Macaca fascicularis: one gene and its partners. The protein of the gene in region 3 purifies or fractionates together with the protein of the main gene of each other region. This does not show direct contact. Links are inferred from orthologs where the notes say so. Each region holds a gene or a part of one and is shown on either strand. Other genes may lie near its edges. The genes, in order: CUL4A, CUL4B and DCAF4L1.

Evidence for each region.
Region 1: the proteins of DCAF4L1 (region 3) and CUL4A purify together in Homo sapiens (affinity purification with mass spectrometry; 3 studies listed by BioGRID and IntAct, counting the BioPlex papers as one, with this or other methods). This does not show direct contact. The link is inferred for Macaca fascicularis from reciprocal best matches to the Homo sapiens genes DCAF4L1 and CUL4A.
Region 2: the proteins of DCAF4L1 (region 3) and CUL4B purify together in Homo sapiens (affinity purification with mass spectrometry; 3 studies listed by BioGRID and IntAct, counting the BioPlex papers as one, with this or other methods). This does not show direct contact. The link is inferred for Macaca fascicularis from reciprocal best matches to the Homo sapiens genes DCAF4L1 and CUL4B.

What each region holds. Positions count from the first base shown.
Region 1 is NC_088391.1:103,648,776-103,652,424, reverse strand, and holds part of CUL4A (cullin-4A), read right to left. Parts: intron 2,948-3,649; coding exon 2,785-2,947; intron 2,256-2,784; coding exon 2,166-2,255; intron 1,098-2,165; exon of another isoform or gene 1,096-1,097; coding exon 1,013-1,095; intron 1-1,012. UniProt on the Homo sapiens protein: Core component of multiple cullin-RING-based E3 ubiquitin-protein ligase complexes which mediate the ubiquitination of target proteins. As a scaffold protein may contribute to catalysis through positioning of the substrate and the ubiquitin-conjugating enzyme.
Region 2 is NC_088395.1:126,818,042-126,821,690, reverse strand, and holds part of CUL4B (cullin-4B), read left to right. Parts: intron 1-226; coding exon 227-389; intron 390-451; exon of another isoform or gene 452-555; intron 556-667; coding exon 668-757; intron 758-1,060; coding exon 1,061-1,143; intron 1,144-1,835; coding exon 1,836-1,903; intron 1,904-3,142; coding exon 3,143-3,261; intron 3,262-3,649.
Region 3 is NC_088379.1:41,327,407-41,331,721, reverse strand, and holds the start of DCAF4L1 (DDB1- and CUL4-associated factor 4-like protein 1), read right to left. Parts: upstream 2,937-4,315; 5' UTR 2,919-2,936; coding exon 1,728-2,918; 3' UTR 1-1,727.

The DNA of each region.
Region 1 (3,649 bases), on a different chromosome or scaffold from region 3:
TCCTGCCTCTTTCCTTCATCCGGCCTGCCCCTTTCCTTACCTTGCTGAGTCCAGTTCTGCACATTGTATCATTTTCATCTCCCTTCCTGTTTTCTCTGCTGAGTCCTACCAAGTCCTGTTCTGCACATCTGTACATTTTATCATTCCCTACTGGGGCCCAGTTCTGCACACTGTATCATTTTCTTTTTCTTTTTTTTGAGATGGAGTCTCCCTCTGCTACCCAGGCTGGAGTGCAGTGGCGCGATCTTGGCTCACTGCAAGCTCCGCCTCCCGGATTCACGCCATTCTCCTGCCTCAGCCTCCCGTGTAGCTGGGACTACAGGCCCCCGCCACCATGCCCGGCTAATTTTTTGTATTTTTACTAGAGATGGGGTTTCACTGGGTTAGCCAGGATGATCTCGATCTCCTGACCTCGTGATCCACCCACCTCAGCCTCCCAAAGTGCTGGGATTACAGGTGTGAGCCACCACACCCGGCTGCACACTGTATCATTTTCACTTCTCTCCCTTGCTGTCCCCTCTGCCCCTGTTCTTGCCTCCCATCACACGGACATTCTGTGCCTGACACGCACACTCACATAATCTCAACCTTTTTGTTTCCCTAGCTACTCATCAACCTCAGGTTTGCAGGAAAAAAACATTAGAAGAAAAGAGAAAATTGTGTGACAGCACCATAAATAAAATTAAAGCGATATAAAATGAGTGCACAATCAAAATAGCCTAATATTCAGTGATACTCCGTTAACATAAATAGCCCATCTCAAAACTCAAAGATGCCAAGTATCTCAGCAAGATTTACTCCCTTTAGACAATAACTTATGACAAGGCACTAGATAAAAACTGTAATTTGTAAATGCCAAATAAGGACAAATGACAAAGTAAAATATGCTAGGTGCAAAAATACTCTTAGTGCTGAATGAAATGACAGAGACACCCTTTACTTCAATAACCAGCCAGGAGAACCCTCCAGCCGTGGTGAGGACATGAACGCTCGGTGAGCGATCGGTACTTACTGTGTGCCGTGGTCCAAGTAAGTGATCACTCTGTCTCCTTCTTCCTCTAAACGTTTACTTACATGGTTAAGATATTCTGGAACCTTCCAAACAAAACAAACGTATCAGTAACAAAAAGACTGTCAACATTATCCAAGAGATTGAAATTTTATTTTCCTTATATGCAATTTTTAAGAAAAGCAGAATATGTATTCAAGCCAAATATTAACACAGATTAACAGGGAGGGAGAGGTAGGATGCAAGTGTGTTGGGGGGACATGGAGAAAGGATCGAGATTAACATCCATCCTAGAACAGGGCCCAGGCTGCACTTCTCTTTCGTCCCTGCTCACCACTAAGTTTTGGGGTCTGTGCACACCCTCTCCCATCCCCAGGGCCCACAGGGAGCTGAGCAGCACTTGGTAGGAGGGTGAGGTGCTAAATGGCAACCCTGCCCCGCACAGATGGGTCAGCAAAAGCAAGTCAACAAGCTGGCTGTTCATCTGGGGACACCAAACAACATGGTGGCAGGAGACCTCAAAGTACACCTATGTTTCCCAAGACAGTGCAGGAAAGGCCTGAGGCTCTGCCGGGGTAGCTGCAGCCGGGCTCAGTATCTGACATGAAACTTCCTCTCCAAAGCCAGAATGAAGGAACCAATGGCCAGGGTCAATTCTGGGCAGCAGCACGTGCCATTTGGGTGACAGTCTATGGGGCAGGTTCCTTTATGATTTTGCTCTGGTATCTGGAAAAGTGGTTAAGTTTTTTTGGGTTCCTATTACTACTATATGTTTTTTCACATGGCTTTTTTTGGGAAAATTTTTTGCAGTGCTTCACACAAATAAAAAATTTTATCATTTGTATTTATTTTTCATTTTTAAGGTGTATGTTTTTATCATTTTGCTTAAATTTGAGTTATTTTACTTATTTCAGAAACGATCTGACAGATTTTTACTTGTGGGGGGAGGGCAATAGTTTCTAAGTTAACATAAACTAAATTCTTAGTATACTAAGAATGAAGTTCATTACTGGGGATTCTGGCAAGACTGCAGCTTTCAGAAGATTTTCAATGAAACATCTGTGTGTGTGTGAAAAGGCAAACACGAGGAAAGTCCTCCCAGATGCTCATCTGCAGAAACGAAGCCAGGGGATTCGGAAGCATCCGATCATCTCACCTCTCTTTCCTGCATTAACCTTTGGCCTTCGGCAGCATATAAGCAGTTAGTCTCTTCCAAAAATTTCAGTTCAAATGAATCTTTATACACCTAAGAAATGAGCAGAGTTATTGACCAATTTCAGTAAAGGAAACTACCTTTTCAAGGGCTAACAAATCCCAGTTTCTGACGGGGCAGGCTGCCATGACCTGAACTTGGAGCTGCCTGTGGCCACCCAGCCGGCCAGCTGCACTGTCCTTCCCAAAACGGCCAGGCAGACCCTCTTCTGTTCTTTTCCTACGGTGCCTTGGGGTCACATTGCACTAAAGAACTTCACCCTTTGTCTTTTGTGTGTGTTGCTAACATTCTCCCCGAGTATGTCATCTGGTTTTGTCTGTTTGTGGTATATTTTCCATGAAAAAGGCGCATTTTACATAGTGATATTGATCCATCTTCCCTTTTGTGGCACCTGGTGTGGTGTTGGCTTGAGAGCCATTCCCCTCCTAGGGATTTTAAAGACTCTTCTATCTTCAACAAACACTTTTATGATTTCATTGTTTAACATCTTTGGTACAACCATTTATTCTGGTGCAAGTAGCTGGGCAGGTACCCGGGTATCTTCTGCACAGGCAGCACTCACCTGCAGGTCGGACAGCATGCCCAGCAGGCTCCGCAGCAGGCTCCGGTCCACGGCCTCGCCGCTCCTCTCGTGCTCGATCAGCAGCAGGATTCCATCAATAGTTTTACTTTGAACCATTTTATCACTAATAATATGGGTTCTAAACAGTTCTAATCCCATATCCCTGTACAGACAGTAAGAAACAATACATTTTAGTTTCGCTTTTTAGAAGTTATGGGTGTTATCTCCAGCTATGCTACTCAATATCATCCAAAAAATGTGAAGTAGCTAATTCTCTACATCTAGGTGCCAACAATTTCTTTTTAAAAACTTCTGTTTTTCGGCCAGTCTAGTGTGCCTTGTCTGCTCCATGTCCCTGGAGATATTGCTAGGCCAAGCATGCCACTGACAACAAAATTGGTATCACATAATCTGCTGGCAGAAGCCCGGGGTTCTTGCCACCTTCCTGGTGAGTGACTGGAGATGCTCAGTCGGGTACCACGACCCTGCCTGCCCCACCTGCCCTGCCTGCCACCATCTGCAACAGCCCTCAGGGTACACTCTCTTCCCAATATCCTCTGCGGAGCACATCCCAGCAGCTTCCCTTCTCCAAGCCCTGGGAGCTCTCCTACCAAATGTTTGCTGCTTTCCCAAGAAGAGAAGGTGACACACGGCTTTCAGAGTTCATCGCAGTCCTCAGCTCACGGCCTGAGGAATGTTACGAAGATGTTTCAGCTGCCAGTGACTGTCCACAAAACCCATGTTGGGGGTTCCGTGCTTTGCTTCAACACTCCTGCTGCCCCCAATGGCCAAGTACTCCATTAAGGAGGGGCCAAAAATACAGATGCTGGGCTCCAGCCAGAAATCCTGAACTGGCACCTCAGGG
Region 2 (3,649 bases), on a different chromosome or scaffold from region 3:
AATAGGAATTTAGCTTCAATTCTCAGTAAAGACAAAATGAGTTTCCTATGTGCTTTAATCTAATAATGTTATTCAGAATTAAATGTGTGGATTTTATTATTTGACAATTGCTGCTTCAAAGCCCTGGAGCCCTAATTAGCATGGGAACATGTGGTAAGAAGTAAAGCAAACCTCTTCAGAAGTGGTATTGTCAATTAATTTAGGTTATATGTGTTTTTTATTTTAGGGACATGGGACTGGAGTTATTTAGGGCTCATATTATAAGTGATCAGAAAGTCCAGAATAAGACAATTGATGGCATTCTTCTCTTGATTGAGAGGGAAAGGAATGGTGAAGCAATTGATAGAAGTTTACTTCGAAGCCTTTTAAGCATGCTGTCTGATTTGCAAGTAAGTTAACTACTACACATACTATACAGAGCTGATTGCTTTTCCTAGTTTTTTTTTCCCGATGTCAGACAGGTGATGTGCTGATGTCATAACAATGTCTGAAGGAAGCACATCTCATACATGAGCATAAAAACCCAATCATCATGCTTCTAAACTACAAAAGGATCCTAGCTTGATGTTTAAAAACCAAATTCATAATGCTGTTTACATAGACATAGAGAATATTTAGTAAATATTTACTAAATAAATGATCTCCTTCATTTTGTTGCCCCTCCCAGATTTATCAAGATTCTTTTGAACAACGATTTTTGGAAGAAACTAACCGGCTCTATGCAGCTGAAGGCCAAAAATTAATGCAAGAAAGAGAGGTATTTAAAAATCATGACTAATACATTCTCACTGTCTCTCACAATAGACCTTACTTTGTAGAATATAAGCTTCCCTTTGCATTTATCTTCCCAACATTGTGATGCTCTTCTCTCACTTAGGTGCTCCTTTCTTTTCTCTCTTCTTAAAGGCCAGAATTCTGGATCATAAACTCTACCTATAATTTTTACATATGATTCTACCCTGTCACATTTGACAGGGCCGCTTCCAGGATCTTTTGGACTTGACATTTTCTGAGTGATTTATGGGGAGGAAAACAATAATATAAAAAACTATCTTTGTAGGTTCCTGAATATCTACATCATGTTAACAAACGTCTTGAAGAAGAAGCAGACAGACTTATTACTTACTTAGATCAGACCACCCAGTAAGTATTACATGCTGAATTTAATAGTCTTAAACTGTCGTTAAATCACTTGCAGCACTTTAGCCATCCTAAACATGTTAGTAACTGTTTTCAGGTGTGATTTGAAGTGTTAACAGTTGTTTTCATAATATAAACTTGAAGTTATTCTTTTCCCTAATTAATTAGTTTTCATCCAAGGATTCGATTAGGAGTGGGTGGGTGTGTGTGTGTGTGTGTGTGTGTGTGTGTGTGTTTAGAATGTAATTTAGAAATAATATTAGAGGCTGATGTGATCTTTAAACTCTTCAGGCCAATTAAAATTCAGTGGATCCCCCCATTTTTGTGCTTTCCTAAGTGTTAATATTGTCAGTCAGGGGGCTTCTGTATGTAGTATTTCTTTACCTTCCTAATAAAAGTAGCAAAACTTGGAAAAAACCAACTACAACAAGGTCTTGGAGATATTTATTTCATGATGTAAACCAAATTCTAAAATATGCAGTGGTTTTTAAAAATTTTTGCCTGTCTATTCCTTTATGTTTTTTTCTTTTAGGTGTAAAGTATAGTAACTCTGAGCACCAATAAATTTATACATAGGATAGGAATCTTGAAATTAACATAAAATGAGCTATTTGATTCCCCCCCCCCCCCTTCAGGAGAGGCTTTACATTTTCTGGAAGTCAAACATCAATAATGCTAACTTTTTTTCCTCGTAGGAAGTCATTAATTGCTACTGTAGAAAAACAACTTCTAGGTGAACACTTAACAGCAATTCTTCAGAAAGGTAATTGGCAATTTGTAAATAAGAGATTGCTTTTTAAATGGTAGTGGCAAACTAGTAGGGAATTTTTAAAGATGTTGCCCTTTTAAAAGTTTGACAGCATGTGGCTGCATTTCTGAGGATGGACACAATCCTTATTAATCACAGTAAACTTCCTGAAGGTGCCAGTTTTCTTATCTGAAAATACAGGAACTAGAAGAGAGGGATCCACAAATACCAATAAAAAAACAGTGGTTGATATGTGCCTGTAGTATCAACTACTTGGGAGGCTGAGGCAGGAGGATTACTTCAGCCCAGGAGTTTGAGGTCAGCCTGGGCAACATAGTGAGACTCTCGTCTCTTTAAATAAAAGAAAAGAAAAAAAGTGGGAAATTCTTGACTTAATATGTTAGCTTTCAGTAAGGAAAGGTATTCCTTTTTACACTAAAGTGGTGAGGGTTTTTTGTTATTGTTAATGGCATGTCAAACCAAGCACTTCTAATCCAAAGTGAATTTGGAGTATACCCTGCATTTTACTTTGAGAATGCCACAAATAGGTAAAAACTTTACCTTTCTCTTCAACAATATTTTCTTTGGTATAAAAATTTATATATTTAGAAATTTAAGGCAGTTATACTGTTATTTCATCCTGAAAATCAAATATTTATTAGAGCCTCATTTAAATTTGACTTAATTTATGCATGGCTTTTGATATATCACAGGCCATATCTAATATTCTGAAATATAACTATGTACATAATATGGCTACTACATATATGAGGTATTTATAATGTATATTTATGTAAACCAGTTTTTATAAGTTTGTTTTTGCCTCTATCATGCTGAATGGCACAAACCATTATGGAGTTAACCATTTTTCTTTTTCTTTTTAATTTTTTTAACTTTTTATATTAAAATAGACAGGTGGGGGGAGGTCTTACTATTGTGCCCAGGCTGGTCTTGACCTCCTGGGCTCAATCGATCCTCCTGCCTTGGCTTCCCAAAGTGCTGGGATTACAGGTATGAGCCACCGTGCCTGGCCTGTTTTTATTTTTATAGTGACTAAAGTCTCTATATTTAGTTTTTACCCAGAAAGATGATTGGGTTTAATTCAAAGGAAATCTTAGAACTCACATACAGACTAGTCATAGTTCAAACCAGTATCACAATAATGATTATAACTCAAATTTTATTAAAATGTCTGATAATCTTGTTCACTTTTTTGTTCACTATATTTTAATGCCAAAATGTTTTAAAATACAGGTTTAAATAACCTCCTTGATGAAAACCGAATTCAAGATTTGTCTCTTCTGTATCAGCTCTTCAGTAGAGTTCGAGGTGGAGTTCAGGTTCTTTTGCAGCAGTGGATCGAATATATCAAGGTATTAACGATTTACCTGTGATTTTTCCCTCTTACAGCTTATCTACACATCGAGAGTGCATATTGGCAAGCATTTCTTGTTCGATCCATTTTTTTTTTTTTTTTTTTTTTTGAGACAGAGTTTTGCTCTTGTCACCCAGGCTGGAGTGCAGTGGCGCAATCTCGGCTCACTGCAACCTCTGCCTTCCAGGTTCAAGCGATTCTCCTGCCTCAGTCTCCCAAGTAGCTAGGATTACAGGCATGCACCACCATGCCCGGCTAATTTTGTACTTTTAGTAGAGATGGGGTTTCAGCATGTTGGTCAAGCTGGTCTTGAACTCCTGAACTCAAATGGTCCACCCGCCTCAGCCTCCCAAAGTGCTGGGATTACAGGTGTGAGCCACCACACC
Region 3 (4,315 bases):
TTGAAGTCACCAAATTTGTAATACCAGCCGTGACATGACCACAGATCTACAGAATACTTTGTATCTCCAATTGGAGGTTTAGTAGATGTCTAAAACTCAGCATCATTCCCTTCACCTAAAGTTTTTTTCTCCTTATCCTCCCTAGGTTAGTAAACGACACCATCATCTACCAGTTCTAAAGTTAACAAAAAAAACTGTCATCCTCAGAGCTTGCAGTGAGCCGAGATCGCACCACTGCACTCCAGCCTGGGCGACAGAGCGAGACTCCGTCTCCAAAAAAAAAAAATTGCTGCCATCCTTTATTCTTTCACTTTCTAGTTTACTCTCATCAGCAAGTCTTACCAATAATACTACCTTCGAATGATCTTCCAATGCAATCATTTCTGATCATTTCTACTTCTCACATGCAGGTCCAAGGCATCACTGTCCCTTGCCTGACTAACTACAATAGTGTCCTAATTGCTTTCTTATTTTTATTTAAGAATAACATATATACAGTAAACTATAAAAATGTGAAGCATATAGCTATATGAATTATGTATTTATCAAGTGTCAAGATAAAGAAAACTCAGCATTCCTAAAGCTTCCCCATGTCACTTCTCAAGCATCCTAAAAAGAAAAAGAAAAAAAAAAAATCCTTTCTTTCTACAGAGGTATCTACTATTCTACCGTTAATCACCATAGACAAGTTTTTACTGCTTTTGAACTTCAGAATTGAACCATACAGTTTGTACTCATTTCTACCTAATTTCAATCACCATGTTGAGATTGGTCCATACTGTTTCACATAGCAAGTGTGCTTTATTTTCTATTATTATGCAGTATCCAATTGTATGATTATAGCACGAGTTTTAGCATTTTGGAAATTCAGATAATTTCCAGGCTTCGGCTATTAAGAAGTAGCAACTAACATTATTACATTTTTTTTTTCTTCCTTGCTTGGTAGAAAAACAGGCTCTTTAACATTTTTAATAAACCTCTCACAAACTGCTGCTCCTAGATTACAAAAAGTCAAAGCCAATTCCTTGAATCTGAACTTCAAGTCACCATAATAGAAACCGGAGCTGCTGCACCTTACATTCTGAAAGGTACTTCAACAAAAGCACATTAAAGACTGTTTAAAACTTCTCGTATTTAAGAAGATCCCTCTTTCCTTCCAATGCCTATGGATAATAATAAAAGGAGAATCTTAAGGGATCTGCTATTGAGTTTGAGAAATTTAATGATTCCAAACTGCAGCCTTAAATATTTCTGTAGAGACTCCGAGAAATTACCTCTCCCTTGTCTCCACTCCCACTGGCTTCCTCAAGCACAGATGCCTGGGACCCTTTGTGACTAGTCAGTCTTACTAGTACCATCATTATGCTTCTCTAAAGGGCTACTAGTGAAAGAAGCTGCTTTAATTTATTTTAGTTTTTGCCAATCTTCAGTCCTTAGAAAAGTCTTACAAAAAAAAAGGGTGGGGGAGATGGTTAACTGTTCTAAGGCATTCAACAAGAGGAAATAGGTATCTTTTATGAAAAGGACTTTCAAGTTAAGTCCAGTTTAACTGAAATAACTTTACGGAAAAGTCTCCACATAAAACTCTTAACACCTTACCCCTGGCAGCCGGATAGATGGGATCTATATATATCACGTCTCTTAAACTGCTCTCACAGAAACGGTAGTAAGATACTCTTAACTTCCTTAAGTCAAATCCACATTCGGCCGCGCTGCAACCTGCGGAATTAGCTGAAGGGGAAACAATAAAGGTCCTGCCGGACAGCCATGAGCAGCCCTGGTGCTGCTCCCCGGATGCCCCCGAGCCGAGAAGCGAAGGCCACGCTGGGAATGTCGTCCTCGGAGGCAGAATACGGGGAAGGGATGGTTCTGAGCAGGTGGGCATCATGGAGGCTCCAGATTCTCGTGTAGCAGTCCTGGCCCACTGCCACCACGATTCCCTCTTCCTCGTGCACATGCAGGGGCAGATAGGCGGACTCATTCACGTGACCTTCGTACTGCCTTAAACATTTAGTGGCCCTCAGATCCCACAGCTTGATCTTTCCAGTCATGTCTGACGCCATCAGGCATTGCTCTTCTTGGAGGATTTGCACAGAGGTCACTGCAGAGTCATGGAACAGGCGAGTGGCCCTCCACCCCTTGCCTCGATTTCTACAGCGCAGATCAATGGCAAAGATCTCCCCGGAGCGACAGCCATTAAACAGCAAAGGAGCCGTACTAGCAAATTGCTGGGCCAAGACATCACTGCTGGCACCAAACGACTGCTGGTGTCCCGTCGCCACGTTGGTCAACAGGACCTGCTGAGACAAGCCTGCACTAAAGCAGTGATATGCCCGGGTGTTGAGGGACCAGGCACAGGACCAGGCCTCAGGGATCTGGAAACTGCAGAGCATGCCAGGCTGGTTTACTCTTGTGTGAACACTTAAGAATCGCGACGCTGGGAGCAGCACCGCACAGCTTGGAGCATCTGTAATTCCCTCGAAGCACAGCAGAATGTGAGAGTCCAACTGGTTCAGCGAGGCCCAGCACAGGGACTTCACCTTCCGGTTGGGGACGTAGAGGTTTCTGAGCACGTACACGTGGAATGAAGGGATCTTCAGAGTTCGCAGGCTGATAATGCCGTACTTGGAGCCTTCGACTTCGACCTGGTTCACTACGAAGAGCTGGTCGCTGTTGGTACTCGCCAGAATGAAGTTAAATCGGTCGGTCGCCAAAGAGGAGGGATCCAAGCTCCGAATCTGGACTTTTTTTCTCTCCATGCAGCTCACACGCAGCTCGTTGGCTAAACGGGAGTAACTGGTGACGTTGAGGAAACCTAGCTGGCTTTTTCGGAGCATAGAAGATGCATTAAATCCCATTCTGGCTACCTTTTTCTGCTTGGCCTCCTCCTCGAGGAGTCGCAGCCTTTCCGCCTCCATTTCCTCCTGCGGACTGTTGCTCGTGACAGGAAATTCTTCAGGATGTTCTTTTCCGTGACAGGAAGTTCCGTCCGGGCGCGAACGGAAGTGTTGCTAATTTTTATCTCTGTATTCTGGGAGCAAGTCCTTTGTTGCAGATGTGTATTACAAGTCTCTTTTCCTACTCTGTGGGTTGTCATATTCTCTCAGTGGCGTCTTGACGAAAGTTCTTGATGTTAAATTTTTTCCTTTCTCTTTTTGAGACAGGGTCTTGCTCTTTCACCCAGGCTGGAGTCCAGTGGCCCGACCACGACTCACTGCAGCCTGGAACTCCTGGGCTCAAGTGATTCTCCTACTTCTGCCCTACCTAGCTGGGACTATGGGCTCGAGACACCACGCCCGGCTAATTTTTTTGTAAAGATGGGGTCTCCCTGCGTTGCTGATGCTGGTCTGAAACTCGAGCTCGAGCAGCCTGTCCGCCTCAGCCTCCCAAAGTGCTGGAATTACAAGCATGAGCCCACCGCGCCTTGCCTGTATTTCTTAATTTTTTATTTTTTATTTTGAGATGGAGTCTCGCTGTGTCACCCAGGCTGGAGTACAGTGGCGCGATCTCGGCTCACTGCAAGTTCCGCCTCTCGCGTTTCACGCCATTCTCCTGCCTCAGCCTCCCAAGTGGCTGGGACTACAGGTGCCCGCCACCATGCCTGGTTAATGTGTGTGTATTTTTAGTAGAGACGGGGTTTCACCATGTAGGTAGGATGGTCTCAATCTCCTGACCTCGTGATCCGCCCGCCTCAGCCTCCTAAAGTGCTGGGATTACAGGCTGAGCCACCGCGCCCGGCCGCCTGTATTTTTAAAATACAGTTAGAGACCAGAGGGGGCGGCGTGGTGAAACTTTGTCTCTGAAAAAGTACAAAAATTAGACCGGGCGCAGTGGCTCACGCCTGTAATCTCAGCACTTTGGGAGGCCGAGGCAGGTGGATCACGAGGTCAGGAGATCAAGACCATCCTGGCTAACACGGTGAAATCCCGTCTCCACTAAAAATACAAAAAATTAGGGGGGACTGGTGGCGGGCGCCTGTAGTCCCAGCTACTCGGGAGGCTGAGGCAGGAGAATGGCGTGAACCCGGGAGGCGGAGCTTGCAGTGAGCCGAGATTGTGCCACTGCATTCCAGCCTGGGCAACAGAGCGAGACTCTGTCTCAAAAAATAAATAAATAATTATACAAAAATTAGCGGGGCATGGTGCACACCTGTAGACCCAGCTACTCAGGAGACGGGAGGGAAAATCACCTGAGCCCAGAAGGTTGAGGCTGCAGTGATCACCCCACTGCACTCCAGCGAAGCCAGGAGACAGAATAAGACCCTGTCTCAAAAAGAAAGAAAAATAAGTAAATAAATTATGGATTTGTCCAAACT